Linked DNA regions of Lepisosteus oculatus. The protein of the gene in region 2 purifies or fractionates together with the protein of the main gene of each other region. This does not show direct contact. Links are inferred from orthologs where the notes say so. Each region holds a gene or a part of one and is shown on either strand. Other genes may lie near its edges.

The links.
Region 1: the proteins of ATP-sensitive inward rectifier potassium channel 12 (region 2) and disks large homolog 4-like purify together in Homo sapiens (affinity purification with western blotting, with the first as the bait; 3 studies listed by BioGRID). This does not show direct contact. The link is inferred for Lepisosteus oculatus from reciprocal best matches to the Homo sapiens genes KCNJ4 and DLG4.

The regions. Positions count from the first base shown.
Region 1 is NC_090698.1:10,878,296-10,886,077, forward strand, and holds the start of disks large homolog 4-like, read right to left. Parts: upstream 3,437-7,782; 5' UTR 3,174-3,436; coding exon 3,155-3,173; exon of another isoform or gene 2,923-3,154; intron 2,035-2,922; coding exon 1,912-2,034; intron 682-1,911; coding exon 611-681; intron 1-610. Other genes in the region: tnfsf13 (tumor necrosis factor ligand superfamily member 13), read right to left, coding at 6,774-6,883, 7,681-7,782. UniProt on the Homo sapiens protein: Postsynaptic scaffolding protein that plays a critical role in synaptogenesis and synaptic plasticity by providing a platform for the postsynaptic clustering of crucial synaptic proteins.
Region 2 is NC_090707.1:38,762,543-38,770,241, forward strand, and holds the start of ATP-sensitive inward rectifier potassium channel 12, read right to left. Parts: upstream 3,527-7,699; 5' UTR 2,863-3,526; intron 1-2,862. UniProt on the Homo sapiens protein: Inward rectifier potassium channels are characterized by a greater tendency to allow potassium to flow into the cell rather than out of it.

The DNA.
Region 1 (7,782 bases), on a different chromosome or scaffold from region 2:
GGGCCCCTTGCTTCACAGTTCACCCTACGTCTACAGAGCTGAGTTTGTCTTGAACCCTGCGGTATCTTGTCTCATGTCCCCACCTACCGCCCTCTGCGTGGAGCTAAAGAGACTTACTGTATTTCCTTTACCCTGCACACGTAGGACACTTTCTATTTATATTTTTCATCGTGTGCACTTCTGATACACTGTCACTCCCACGTGTGTCTGCTCATCATCAAATGACCAACCGGTAACCATGGCAAGTAGAGGCTGTGTGAAGATCTCAGTGCGGGATGTGCTGGAAACCGGAAGTTGTGTATTTTTCACAATCGGGACTGGCTGAAGAAACCGGTAAAATAAAGTCTAAACTGATCAAGCAGATCAAAGAGCGCAGACAGAGTGAAGACCAGCAGACACAGTGCTCCTGCAGTTGCTGGGGCTGGGAACCAGTGCCCGAGACACTGTGCCAGCTGTGGACATCTCCTGTCCTCTAGTGGAAGAGGTGTGAAACTGCAGGGCAGAAAGGCACTTCAGGATGAAAGAACCATTGGGCAGTCTGGGATAGTGTTTTCCCCAGCGCACACACACACACACACATCCCTGTGGAGCTGTAAAACCCAAGTCCTACCAGCACAGGAGTCCGAGGTCGACCCACCAGCCGACTCTCACACACAGTCACTTCATAGAACTCCTGGATATCTGGGGAGAGAGAACCAGAGAGAGGGGAGTGAGCGAGAGAAGGCAGGGAGATTGGGAGAGTGTGAGGGGCAGGAAGAGAGACAGAGGGAGCCACCGAGGAACAGAGACCCCCGCCGCACTGCTGTCGAATCCACCCCAGGTTTTGCAGAGCGGGCAGTCTGTCAGTCAGGGATCAGCCAGCCTGCCTGACCTGCTGGCTGTCTGAGTACTGTATGTCTGTGATTCATCCCACAGCCCAAGCGCCCCATCCACACAGTGGGTGCAGAGCAGAAAACAGCAGCTCTCAGCCTCATTCCTCCCGTCTCTCTCTCGGCCTGCCTGCCGTGCCTCCGTGACAAGCTTCCTGGATGATCTGCTCTTAATCGGGCAGTGCTGCAAGAGCCTCTCAGCTCTAATCCCTCCGCCTCAGCTAAACCAGCAGATTACATCCCCACTAAATATAGACAGATAGGCAGAGGGAGAGAGAGAGGCTGGGAGAGACGGAGTGTGAGATCTGAAAGAGGGGGGTGGAAAGCGAGAGAGGGGCGACAGGGGAAGACACAGAGGTAGAGGGGACCCCCCTCCTGTACAGTTTTACAGACCCCAGACAGTTAAGGCCCCTGTGTCTCATCCTCGCCCCCTGTGTTCATACTGTTCCTCTGGTCAGGCTGCAGGGGGCAGAGTGGAGTTGCACCTAGGGCTGTACAACGAAGAGGCCCCGTGTCTGTGCTCCCGAGGAGGCCCACGTCCAGAAGGTTTCCAAAATCTCTTAGAAACAGCCCAGCCTGGGGGCTCCTGATGGGGCTCAGCCAGTGAAGGCGCTCGATCAGGGAGCAGGCTGAGCCCCTACAGTCCAGACAGTGCTGGTTCTGCTCTGGGCCCTCATTCGCCCCACTGTGACTGGTGTTCCCCCAAAAGTGGGTACAGTTGGCTTGGGGCCTTCAGGGTTGGGTGGCCTTAAACAGGCCTGGGCGTCCTTTCGGCCGTGCAACAGCGCCAGCCTGCGTCTTTCTGGGCACCTGTCCGCTTGCATCAGCCTGGGCTGTTGATTCGTAGGGCAGGGGGGCCAACTGGACAGTTACCTGGGGCACAACAGGTGCTGGACAGGATATCCACAGCTTGCCCACAGAAGCTCCATCAGGGAGACGGGGGCACAGCTCTGTGGGGGGTGGGAGGAGGAGGAGGTGGGGTTCGAAACGGGAACCTCCCATCGAAACACAGCCTGTAGCCTAACCCAACCTGCAGCCTCACCCAGCAGGGCCTGGAAGAGGTCGCTCTGGAAGATGTTCAGGAGCTTCTCGGCCCGAGCCCGGAACCCCTCGTCGCCGGTCTCCGACTGACACTCCTCCATCAAGCGCAGGGCTTTCTCCGTGTCTGGGCCGGGAGGACAGAGACGGACAGGCAGGCGGTTATAGAAGTGAGAGCTACTGGGAGAGAGGTGGACACCTGGGGAGGACATCGCTGCGTGCTGTAAGAGAGCCGTTCGCCCCTCTCTGGGCAGGCAAGGACTGCCTTCTTACAGTACACATAAATAACAGTGTCTCGGGGTCTTCTTTGTCCACCTGAAACCAGTTATCAATCTACTTTGAAACGGTTAAAAAGATCAGGACTTCCACTCTCTACTCCACTACCGTCTGTTAAAGTGAAACAGTTTAGTTGAACGGGTCATTTCTTCTTTTTTTTTAAATATGGCCCACCCTGCCATGAAAATAATAATTGGGACAGTTTCTGAATTTCTCTTCCTTCTGGTGACTTTTATTCTGTCTGGTAAACCACTGCCTGTTAAGCCTGTTTGGCAGATAGTAGCTAGCTGGTCCCAGGATCGCATCACCCAGCCACTTCTTGAACTAGCTCAACAACACTTGTTCAACACTCCCACCCTCTTGGGTAAAGATGTATCTCCCCCACCAATTCTCAATTTCAAATGCAATTCTTGGAAAGAAGGCGGTGTTATCAGCCTCAGTGTGCTTGGGCAGCTAATCCCACACTCCCACCACTCTTTGTGTAAAGAAGTGCCTCCTGTTTGCAGTTTTAAATGCTGTACTTTGAAAGAAGCCAGGTTATCGGCTTCAACTTGTCTGGACTGCTTGTTCCATGCCCCCACAACCCTTTCTGTAAAGAAGTGCTGCCTGTTCGCGGTTTTAAATGTCATTCCTCGAAAGGCAGTGACGGGTTTCAGCGGACAGCCGGCGGACAGGTGACTCCGGGCTCCGGCCGCTCTCCTTCACACGACTTCTGTCGGTTAAACACTCAAAAACACACCTCCACACAAAAGTCTCCTGTCTCGTCACGGAAAGTTCTGGGTCTGTGTCCCACGGAGCCGTGGGGCCCTGAAGCGCCGACTCGCAGACGGCGCGCGCTCTAGACACGCACGCAGACCCGGGTTTCTCGCTCGAGAAGGGCGTTTGGGCGGGAACTCTGGGTACCGAACCCCCTACCCGACCTGTAACGGAGACGAACCGGGACTGAGGCCGAGACCGGCTCCGACACTCACCCTGTTTCCTCAGCGGCATTCTCCCTCTCTCTTACTCCCTCCCTCTCGACTTTCTCCTGTCCCTTAATCCCCCCGTCCCTCCGGAGCAACTGCTTCTAACCCTCTTTAGAAATCCCACGGGGGACTTCTGGGAAATGCAGTTCTGGCTCCTGCTCTCGACCACGATATTGTTTTATTAAGACCGTATTTAGTCGAAAGGAATACTTGCGTTAAAGGATACTACTTAAGCTATAAAATAACCTCATGATTAAACTTTTTGCATGCCGTATTACAGAATGAAAGCATGCTATACAAGACCAGATTTACGGTGCCGCTTAATACTGACGTGGACGAGAGTGGTGCTGTAGTTCACTTGGGTAATATTCTCCGGACCGTGTGTTTATAAACGACTGCATAAATAAATGTATTTATTGAAAACAGTGTGTCCCAATACAAATAATAATTATAGCTTTCGATTTAACCCTTTAAAACGGCTCTTAAACAAATATTTTAAGTTTCCAAAACATAATGTTGAGTTTAACTGCTTGAAACACCACTTGAAATAAAACTGGTTTTATTTTGTTTTGGTGCTTTCACTGGGCTGGCGCTGAGTGATGAAAGCAGGGGGAAACCGCACTCTTTGCTGGGGCCCGACAGACTGTTTTGTTAAACAGGGATATGATGTCATCCACGCGTCATAACTACAAGCTGTGACGTAGATGACGACTAGGGGGGGGTGCCCGCTTTTCCCCGGAGGCTTTAAAAAGGGCACAGTGCCGCCTTCCGGACAGACCGCAGACATGGCCAAGAGGCATAGACGAGCGTCCCGTCCAGTGCGCAGGAGGAGGCGAGTCAGGAGGTCCAGTGTGAAGCGCCAGAGGAGGAGGAGGAGGAGGACCAGGAAGCACCATTGAAACAGCTGGAGCACTTCTGGCAGGAGCTGCCAGCTCAGCTGCACTGCCCCCTGCTGGCCGCTGGACTGGCTGCCCTCAATAAAACTGCGCTATAGAACTGAAACATTGCCTTGACTGAATTATTGACTTGACTATGCTGTAAGATAGCGTCATGTATGTCCATGGCGACTTGCCGTAGTTAGTTTTGAAGCTGAGCTGAGATGTGCGTGTCCGTTGTTCGGAAAAATAAAAGAAGCTGTTTACATTTAATCGTTTACATTACGATTACAGCGCAACATGACAGACAGAATTAAAAACACAGCTGTTGAGGTAAGAAAAAGGTTTATTATTCCTGCTCTTAAAGACTTGTGTCCCGTCCAGGGTATACCCCGCCTTGCGCCCATTGCTTCCCGGGATAGGCTCCGGCTCCCCCACGATCCTGAATTGGAAAACGCATGGATGATCTTAAAGGGACATAGTCCCTTTAGTTGTGAACAGAAAAAAAAATACAAGTGGTCAAAGGCCTTCTAAGTCCTGGATTTGATAGTTGGACCTGAAGTCGTCCGCTGGATCTACCAGTGAACACAAGTGTGAACAGTTCATTCAGGACTGAGGACAGGAGGCAGCGGTTTACACAAAGAGTGGGGGGTGTCTGGATCAAGTTGCCAGGCTGTGTTAAAAACATTCTCTGGGGTGTTTCAGGCTGGGCGATGAGTCCTGGCAGTCTGGCTGGAATGGCTGGGACGCAGCTCCTCGTGTGTAGCCTGTCTGAGGGCTGTGAGGGAGCCTAGCCCTTCAGCAGCTGGGGCTGGTCAGGAATGCAAGCCGGCGCAGTGGGGCCGAGAGAATGGAAGGGAGGAAAACCTCTCACGACCAGCTGCTTCCAAGACACGGCCAAGTCATCACTGAGCACATGTACAAACATGGCTGACTGAGCCACGTAACGGCTCACTGATACCCACAGCACACAAGTGTACATCTGTTACTGACCCTTCACACTCCACACACACACACACGTGTGCTCCTATCTGTTACTGACCCTTCACACTCCACACACACACACGCTCCTGTCTGTTACTGACCCTTCACACTCCACACACACACACGCTCCTGTCTGTTACTGACCCTTCACACTCCACACACACACACGCTCCTGTCTGTTACTGACCCTTCACACTCCACACACACACACATGTGCTCCTGTCTGTTACTGACCCTTCACACTCCACACACACGTGTGCTCCTCTCTGTTACTGACCCTTCACACTCCAATGGAACTCCACACCAGAGGGACAGTATTTTCAGGAGCTCAGATTTAAAAGAAGATGCCGTCTGGTTTGTAAGAAAGTCACTTCCGCTGTAAAGACGCCCCAGCATCGTCTGTGTGCCAGGAGCTGCTGTCTCTTTGGGAGCATTTTCTCAGCACGATACTAATACAGGCCCACACTGAGACAGTAATACACACTCAATTCCCCACAATAATGAAACTTTAAATGCTTATCAATTTATATAACACCTTCAATGCCACGGCACCCCAAGTAAGACTGACAGTGTTGAAATTGTATTTTTACAATAGTTTGTTTCCCAGCTGTAGTTAAAAGGGATAGGATATATAGCCTGCACGGAGTCTGTATGTTCTCCCTGTGTTCACACAGGTTTTTTCTCTGGGTGCTCCAGTTTCTTCCCATAGTCCAAGACAGACTGGAAGCTTAACTGGGTTCTGGGAAAACTGGCTCTAGTGGAAGTGTGTCTGCGTGTGCCCTGCGATGGATCGGCGTCCCATCCAGGGTGTACCCTGCCTTGAGCCCACTGCTTGCCAGAATAGACTCCTGCTCCCCTGAGACCCCGAATTGGAAGAAGCGGCTGGGAAAAGAAATTTGGATGGGGATATACCGTCTTCACCTTGTAACTGTAAAACAGCGGATCAGCCACTAGATGTCACAATAAACAATAATGGCAACAATTCCGTTCTTGGCGAAATCCATCTCATAACCCTTTTCATACCCACTTGGGCTTTGTCCATGTGAGCGTCTGCATCAGGCCAATAAGGGCACCCGACATCAGATCCTGTGTGATAATGCTGATGTCCTGTTGTTCTCCCATGTGAAATGACAACCCTCTAGCTAGTGTGTGTTAAATATTGCTGGAACATTTCAGTCATACCAGACAGCACTTTTAATTTAAATATTTTATTTAAAATATATATTGACAAAACACATTAAATTAAATTTCTTGTGAATAAAACTACAATAAGCCCGTTGCTGTCTGTCTTTCTCACCTGCTAAATCACTACAGATGAATTAGCTTTGAGCTGAGCAAGCAGGTGCTGTGTAGGACCAGGATGTGTTTTTTTACACAGAGAGTGGTGGGGGTCTGGAACAAGCTGCCAGCCATGCTGTAGAAGCTCAACTTTTGAAGTGTGTCAGCGAGTGTCAGTGTATCTCAGTCCCTCAGTGTGCCAGTGTGTCTCAGTGTGTCAGTGAGGGTCTCTCATTTCCTCAGTGTGTCTCAGTCTCTGAGTGTCTCACTGTGTCTCAGTCCCTCAGTGTGTCAGTGTGTTTCAGTGTGTCAGTGAGGGTCTCTCAGTCCCTCAGTGTGTCAGCATGTTTCAGTGTGTGAGGGTCCCTCAGTGAGTCTCAGTCCTCTCTCGGTGTGTCAGCATGTCAGTGAGGGTCCCTCAGTCATCCCTAAGCGCGTCTCATGCCCTGACTGTGTCAGTGTGCCTTTCCAGTACTCAGTGGGTCCAGTCAGATCCGATATAGGCCCAGATAGGTGTAGTAGGGCTCCAGTTTGAGTCTGGCATCCTTGCGCAGCACAGAGAGCTCCACGACCGACCCCGACTCCAGGTAGAAAACACCTGACAGAGCGAGACACAGACAGGCACAGTCAGAGAGCTTCAGGACTCCAGAGACTGAATACCTCACACACTAAGACACACAGAGGCAGACACAGAGGCAGACACTGACTGACACAGTCAGAGAGCTTCAGGACTCCAGGCACTGAATACCTCACACACTAAGACACACTGAATCACAGTCAGACACACTGAGAGGCAGACACTGACTGACACCTGAACACCTGACTGTGTCAGAGACCTGAAGCTCCAGACACAGAATAAATCACCCACTGAGACACAATGTCCTTTCTTTAACACAGCTCCCAAAACCATCTTCTGAATGTGGTCTAGCTGGTTTCTCTCCAGTCCAGTGTTACACTCTCATGTTTATACTGTCCATCCTTCCGCAGGAACAAGGCCCCTGGGGGACGATCTGCTGGCACCATTCTGCCCTTTTCTTCTAACCTGCATGCAATGGAATCTACACACACATTTCCCCCACTCACTCACCTACAGTACACAGGTGTCACAAAGACACACACAGGATTTCACACACACATTCATTTCCTCCACTCATACACACAGGTTTCACAAAGACACACACAGGATTTCACACACACATTCATTTCCTCCACTCATACACACAGGTTTCACAAAGACACACACAGGATTTCACACACACACTGGTTTCTCACACACACACACACTCATAGGTTTCACAAACATACACACAGGATTTCACACACTCACTCGCATGCACAGATTTCACAAAGATGCACACAGGGTTTTACAAGCACACACAGGTGTCTCACACACACCTGCGCTGTAGCAGCTGCTGAAGGCCTTGTCCTCACTGTCCGGCATGTTCTTGGAGCATTTCATCAAGATCGTCTCGTTGCCGTGGAGATTCTTCTTGATCA
Region 2 (7,699 bases):
GACCCAGTCAGGAGCTGTCTGTCTGTCTGTCTGCTCACACTGGTGAGGCTGAGACCCAGTCAGGAGCTGTCTGTCTGTCTGTCTGTCTGTCTGTCTGCTCACACTGGTGGGGCTGAGACCCAGTCAGGAGCTGTCTGTCTGTCTGTCTACTCACACTGGTGGGGCTGAGACCCAGTCAGGAGCTGTCTGTCTGTCTGTCTGCTCACACTGGTGGGGCTGAGACCCAGTCAGGAGCTGTCTGTCTGTCTGTCTGTCTGTCTGTCTGTCTGTCTGTCTGTCTGTCTGCTCACACTGGCGTTGCTGAGACCCAGTCAGGAGCTGTCCAGCGCTGGGCTGTGCTGGAATCTGGTGCTGTCTCGTGTGTATGAGGCGCTGTGGTGTGGAGGTGTCCTGGCCTGCGCAGTGCTGAAGCTGGCAGGGGAGCTGTCCGGAGGCGGACGGTCCTGAAGCCGCCTCAGCACTGTGCTGCTGTGCTGCTGTGCAAAGTATGCAGAGCAGCTCCCTGCTTCTGGCGCTGATACTCTGCAATAACCTCCACGACCTGCCTTCCACAGCTGACCACGTCTTCAACAATCACACCAGGAGGCTAGCAAGCCCCCAGGTGCTGGAACAGGGCTGCCACCCACTCCCTCTCTCCTGAGCAACTTTACTGGGTGTCTTTTTCGGCCTGTACTGGACCTGAAACACTTGATTTTACTTTGAGCAACAGGACATGTCCCGCACACGGCAATAACAGTTCACACGGACTACCCCAACTCGAAACGGAAGGAAAACCTGCTTTCAAAGTGTCGATTCCCGCCCGACATATACCGCCTGTGAGAACACACGGCCCTTCAGGAAACAGGGGGGCTGTCGCCCACTGACAGCGAGTCCCCCAGAGGCAGTGTTCCCTTTAAACCGACCGGGCGTCCGCGGGTTCAAGCGCTGGACCGCTTGATGAGGACTCCAGGTTTACTGGTCATCATCATCATCGCTGTCCGCCTCCGAGCCCGTGTGTGCGCCTGGGCTCGGCCGGCTCAGTGCGGGTCGATGCATGCGCCCGCCTGCGCCCCCGTGAACGCGCCCCCCCTCGCCGCCGCCGCTCCTGCCCCGCGCGCGTCTCCAGCCCGGGGTCCGCCGGTCCGGTCCGGCCCGGCGCGAACGAGCCGCCGAGCCGAACTTCTGCCTGCGGTTCGCGCCCCCCCTCGGCCGGAGTGGCCGGGGGTTCTGCCCGCTTCCCCGTCCTGTCCACCGAGGCGTCCTGCCCACCAGAACCCGCACCAGAACCTGCACGGTACCGCCTCCCCGATCACACCCTGCCTGTCCTCCTCTACAGGCCGATGTCAGGAGGAAACTGAAACTGCCGCGCGGTTCAGCTGTCGCGGTCGCTGTCGCGGTCAGTGGTGCCGGAGCCGTCAGGCTGGGTCTGTGCAACACTGAAACCGGAACAGTTCGGAGCCAAAATCCTGAATTCCGCGTGAAGTTGGGCCACACGACACGCCTGTGCTGCTCTCCGGCCCGACCTGCGAAAGCGGCGCTCTTCGCGCTGGAGCGATGGCGGTTTGTGTCCCCGTGTCGTTCAGAAGAAAGTTGGAGGAAGAGCTCGACTCTCCGCTCGTGGGGCTGGGGGCCTCTGTAGCGCGCCAGGCCGGTGGTCCCTGACTCTCCTCTCCTGCTTGGGGAGATTTTCTCCCGGGGGGCAGTCGCTCCAGGAGGCCAGAACTGCGCCCCGGGGAAACGGGTAGTGTCTGGTTTGGGGTTTTGTGTCGCAGCGACACGACGCAGCTGAAAAGCAGCGCTACTGGGGGAACTGGGGGAACTGGCCCCGAGGGGCGCGAGAAGGCCAGCAGGTGAATACAAATGCGTCTCCCGGGCGAGGGTCGCTGCTGGAGGTGTTCAGGTGTAAATCCGAATATACAGCACTCTGTGCGTGAATCCGGATTCACCTGTGCGTGAATCTGAATCTATCTGTGTCTGAGTTTGGATTTATCTGTGTGTGAATCTTAATCTATCTGTTTAAAAATAAAAGACGGGTTTTAGAATCTCGACCATCTTTCAAAATTGAAAAGCAACTTGCCTCCCCCCACACACACGCACGACCGCGAGTAGCAATCTCTTCCATTGTACAAAAAAATAAAAAATAACGCCTCATTAGAAGCATGTTCCTCAAACTCTTCGCGACACGAAATCAATGCCACGCGGGGGGGATGGTTTGAGACCGGTCTCACGCAGGGAAGCACGCAGGTGTCTTTCCGTGACGGGGAAACAACAGGTGAGCACCCGGCGCGCGCGGGGGCGCGGGTCCGGTCCAGACCGGTCCGGTCTGGTCTGACACCGCTCGGGACCCGCTCTCTGAGACGCCCACCGAAGCCAAGCCGAACCGCCACCGGCGTCGCGGGCTCTCGTGGGAGGGGAGGGGGGGGATTCTGCGCGCGTGGGCTCCACGCAGCTGCGCTCTCCTCGCGCCCGTGGAGAGGAGAGTGGCGAGCCCCCCGAGCGGCTGAGGAAACCGAACTACGCGGTTCCGATATCCATCCTCCGCACGGGCTCACCGCACTGTTCCCAACGAACACCCGGCCCGTCTCCCAGGCGGAACAGGACGTTTTGTGACAAATCGCTGAAGTTCTGCGATAATAATAATAATAATAATAATAATAATAATAATACCAACACTTGTGCACGAAACGGTTCTCTTTCCCTCAGTGTAGAAAGAAGTTGTTGTTGTTGTTGTTGTTGTTGTTATTGGGGGTTCTTATGCAAACGCCTTAATAAGCTTATGGCTGTAGCGTCGGCTCGTGAGCCCAGACCCCCCGGCACCCCAACCCTGCTCGCGGCGTGTGGAAGTTAGAGAGGCAGTCTGGAGCCGGCGGGTAAGGCGCTTACCTTCCTCCGTGGGGGGGACCGTCTCGTGGGGAGCCCACTCCTCCCGCGGGCCCGGGCGGGGGGTCCACGCGACTCCCTCGCTCGATCCCAAATCCCACGTCCCGCCGCCGCGCCGCGCTGCTCCCGGAGCGGCCCCAGACCCCTCCGTGTCCCTGTAACTGTGGAGCGGGGACTGCCCGTGGAGTAGATATCCCGGAGCGGTGTCGTATCCCCGCGCACCCTCCCCGCGCCCGCTCCTCGCAGCGCCACAGGGCTGGAAAACTTCTTCCCCCCGAACCCGCGCTTCCTCCTGCCGCCCCGCCGGTGCGGTCTCTGAACTCGCCGGTCCGTCCCCGAGCCACCTGGTTTCCTTCGTGTCCGGACGGCTCCTCTGCTCCCTGTGTTAATCCCGGCGGCTGGCTCGCGCGCGCTCGCTCGCTCTCTCTCTGACGGCGCGGGGAGAGCGAGCCGTGTGGGTCTGGGCGTCAGCAGCCCGCGTGCGCTCACGGCGTGGACGGGTCCTCGGCGCGGCGCGTGCTGCGAGTGTGTGACGGTGCTGTGCATCCGTGTGTGGTGTGCTGTGAGTGTGTGACAGCGCATCAGTGTGTGTTGTTAGTTTGTGTACTGTGTGTGGTGTGCTGTGAGTGTGTGACAGTGCATCAGTGTGTGTTGTTAGTTTGTGTACTGTGTGTAGTGTTTTGTGAGTGTGTGACAGTGCTGTGCATCAGTGTGTGTTGTTAGTTTGTGTACTGTGTCTGGTGTGCTGTGAGTGTGTGACAGTGCTGTGTATCAGTGTGTGTTGTTAGTTTGTGTACTGTGTGTAGTGTGCTGTGAGTGTGTGACAGTGCTGTGCATCAGTGTGTGTTGTTAGTTTGTGTACTGTGTCTGGTGTGCTGTGAGTGTGTGAGCTGTGTATCAGTGTGTGTTGTTAATTTGTGCACTGTGGGTCCCTGTGTATGGTGAGAGGTGGTGAGGTGAGGGGGTGAGAGTGTGAGGGGTGAGGTGAGGGGGTGAGAGGTGAGAGGGTGAGAAGGTGATAGGGTGAGGGGATGAGAAGGTGAGGGGGTGAGAGGTGAGAGGGTGAGGGGCTGAAATGGTGAGGGGATGAGAAGGTGAGGGGGTGAGAGGATTGGGGGATGAGAGGGTGAGGGGGTGAGAGGATTGGGGGATGAGAAGGTGAGGGGGTGAGGGGATGAGAGGGTGAGGGGTGAGAGGATTGGGGGATGAGAAGGTAAGGGGGTGAGAGGATTGGGGGATGAGAAGGTGAGGGGGTGAGGGGGTGAGAGGGTGAGAGGATTGGGGGATGAGAAGGTGAGGGGGTGAGGGGATGAGAAGGTGAGGGGGTGAGAGGATTGGGGGATGAGAAGGTGAGGGGGTGAGAGGATTGGGGGATGAGAAGGTGAGGGGATGAGAGGGTGAGGGGGTGAGAGGATTGGGGGATGAGAAGGTGAGGGGGTGAGGGAATGAGAGGGTGAGGGGGTGAGGGGATTGGGGGAGGCACAGTGGTGCAGCTCTCAGTGTTGCTGCCTCGCTGTGCTGGGGCCCGGGGTTCAGTTCTGGACCTGAGGTGCTGTCTGTGTGGAGTTTGCATGTTCTCCCAGTGTTTGCGTGGGTTTCCTCTGGGCTGTGTCCCGGGATGGACTGGCGTCCTGTCCAGGGCGAACCCCGCCTGGCGCCCGTTGCTTGCTGGGATAGACTCCAGCTCCCACATGACCCTTGAACTGGCAGACGTGCTCAGAAAATGGCTGGATGATGGACCCAGCAGCAGGCTTAACCGATCGGGAGGCAAGGGAAGCACACGCTGTCAGGATTCCCGTCCGGCAGAGGAATGCTTCCAAATCCGGGCGAGAAGTCAGCTGCTCGCCCTGTCTCAGCCCCCCGGAGGCCGGGCCCCCCCTCCTCCTCCTGGGGGGGCCCTCTCAGATCCCCTGCTCAGCGGCTCCTGGTGACTGTTAGCCCCCACCAGCGCCAGCTGCTCTGGGCTGCAGCGGTGTGCGTCTTATTTTTAGCGGGCGGGACCGGAACCGGGACTAGTCTCCACCTGTATTCGCCGATCGGCGGGCCTTCCGGATCGCCCAGGCCAGCCCTGCTCTCCGAGGTCACCCTAACCTGTTGTCCTGCGGTCCTGTGACCTGGGCCTGTGGGGGACCCCTTTCCCGTTTCCCCTCGAAAGAGGACAGCGCGTCTTCTGGAGGGGCAGGTGTCACGTGACGTGACCACGACCGAAGAAAGACGCCAGGTCTCTGGGTTTGAAAATACTGTCTTGTTCCCCACTCTCACCACCCTTTGTGTAAAGGATGCTTATGCCAAAGCATCTCAAAGTCACTCCAGTTCAGACAGTCGAGCTAATTAGGCATGGAGCAAACTTTTCCCATCAACCCCGCCGCAGTCTGACGATCCCGAGCCGGGACTTGCCGTGTGTCGGCTCGGGACAGCACACCGGCCAGGCCAGGGGCCCGGGCTGCCCCCGTCCCACCCCGCGCCCCCGGCCCCCGCCCGCGGCTCCGGGACGTTCAGGCAGTGTGGTGGGTCCCGGGTTTCTATGGAAACCACTTTGCTCGCTGGTGTCTAAATTATAGCTGCCGCAATTTTATTTTTAAACCCTGTCAGCAGCAAAAAAAAAACCCCGAGGTGGGTGTGTATTTGTCCAGATGAGAAACAGGAGGAGAAAGAGACGAGGAGGGGGGTGGGAGAGAGAGAGAGGGGGAGACGGTTCCCAGCTCCGCTGGACTGAGTTGGCTGGTGTTCAGATGTGCAGTTGGTGTGTGCGAGCTCGCTCACGCTAAATATAGACTATTGAATGTGCTCTTCCCCAGATCTGCTGCACGGCCCCGCCAGGCCCAGGAGAGCCGCGGCCCCGCGCGGTTTATAGGTCACGCTTAATCAGCGGTTTAGAGCCACCTGGAAGGTCAGGTCGATCAGCTGCACGGGCCTTCTGTCCTTTAGACTTGGAAGAGATAAGTTCCCGGACTTTCATCCAGCGAGAGAAGTGTCGCTTATCTGCTCTGTCCTGTCGTGCGGAGTGTGACGCTAGCTCTTCATACTGGAGTGGGAGGGGTAAAGGTTGGAGGGCTACAGAGATCACAAGTCTCCAGTGATCTCCAGTGATCTCCAGTGATCTCCTGTGATCTCCAGTGATCTCTGGTCTCCCTGACACGCCAGCCGAGAGTGTAACGGCGCTGTGTCAGGTGTCTTTCTCAGGGCCCCTGGACGCCACCGTGTAGGAAGTCCGGGGGCACCCCTGAGCCCGGCGTGGGCGGGACTGGTGCTGTCCCGGCGGGTCAGGCTCTCCGGGACAGGGGTGCGACCCAGGGCTCTCTCCCCCTGGCTCGGCAGACGGACGAGGCTCTTTCGCTGACTCACTCCTGCGCTGGTCCGCGGTGCCCAGTGTGCTGCCTATTTATAGGCCCTAATCTGTGTTATTATCAGCTGAGCTGTGGCGACCTTTTGATGGACGTGCCGTATGAAAGGGCAGGGGCCAGCGCTGGCCGGTGGATCGGGAAGAGAGGGGCGTCCCGGGGGATCTGATCCCGATGCCAGCGATCCCGGGATCCGCTGGAGCCGTGGTCTGAAGCCCAGGGTGGACACGGAGCCCGCGGGACACTGATGCTTCGCACCGGAGGTCGCTGGGCGTTGGAAGAACCTGGGAGAACTCGGCGCTGGGGCGGAGTGTCCCGGGACCGTCGAGAAACGTGCGGACCGGGCTGAACGGGCCCAGCTGGACTGCTGTTGGTTCTGATCTTCCTCTAGAAGCTCTTTCATTCTAAGGATCACTCAGATGATGCTTAGCTTTAAAGGAACTTCTAGTGAGAATACAGACACTGTAGACAAGCCCTATAGAGACCCCGAGACTGTAGACAAGCCCTATAGAGACCCCGAGACTGTATACAAGAACTGTAGAGACCCCGCGACTGTATACAAGAACTGTAGAGACCCCGAGAGTGTATACAAGCTCCATAGAGTCCCCGAGACTGTAGACAAGCCCTGTAGAGACCCTGAGACTGTAGACAAGCCCTATAGAGACCCTGATAGTGGATACAAGCCCTATAGAGACCCTGATGCTTTATATAACCACCGTATAAAATCCTGACAGTGCAAACAAGCACCACAGCACTAGAGAATTGCATACAGATCATACTGACACCGTATATAAGCGTGTTTTAAAAGTACATATCTTTCATTGAGGAACAAAAGCCAAGAAGGATTTTTATAGCTCTGTGGAAGCCTATAAATATCCTCATCTTTCCACAAGATTTATTGTGGAAGTTAATGCCATTGTGTTGAGACTCTCAGGTAGAAACTCTTTTCTGCACAAGCTTTCATTTCAAACACAGAGCTGAGCCTCTTAATCTCACTCACACACACAGGCACTGATACACCCTCACACACACACACCCGCAGCCACGCGCCCGCACACACAGACGATGCTATTAACGAGCACCCCTCTCACTCCCACAGATGTACAATCCCCCCCAACCCCCACTCCCACTCCCACCCCCACCCCCCTCTGGGCTCGGTCACGGTGCGTCTCAGCCGCAGTACAGCTCAGCACAGCGTCTCGGAGCAGGAAGGGGCCTGCCGGTCACTCTGTGGCCACTGACCGGACACCAGCTGCCTGTCCGCTCCTGCAGGGGCCCGGCAAGGACACACGCAGGGTCAGCGTGACTGACCACCCTCCCGCTGGCCTCTCCTTCAGTGCCGGGGGTCAGTATCGGGGTGATTTTTCCAAGCTGTGAATCCCCTCTCCAGAGGGGAACCAGGGAAACAGCTCCGACCCGGTCTGCTCCACGGAGGGGCGGACACTTTGGCAGGGAGACGTCACTTCCCGATGGATCGCGCTGTCTCTCGTGACGCACAA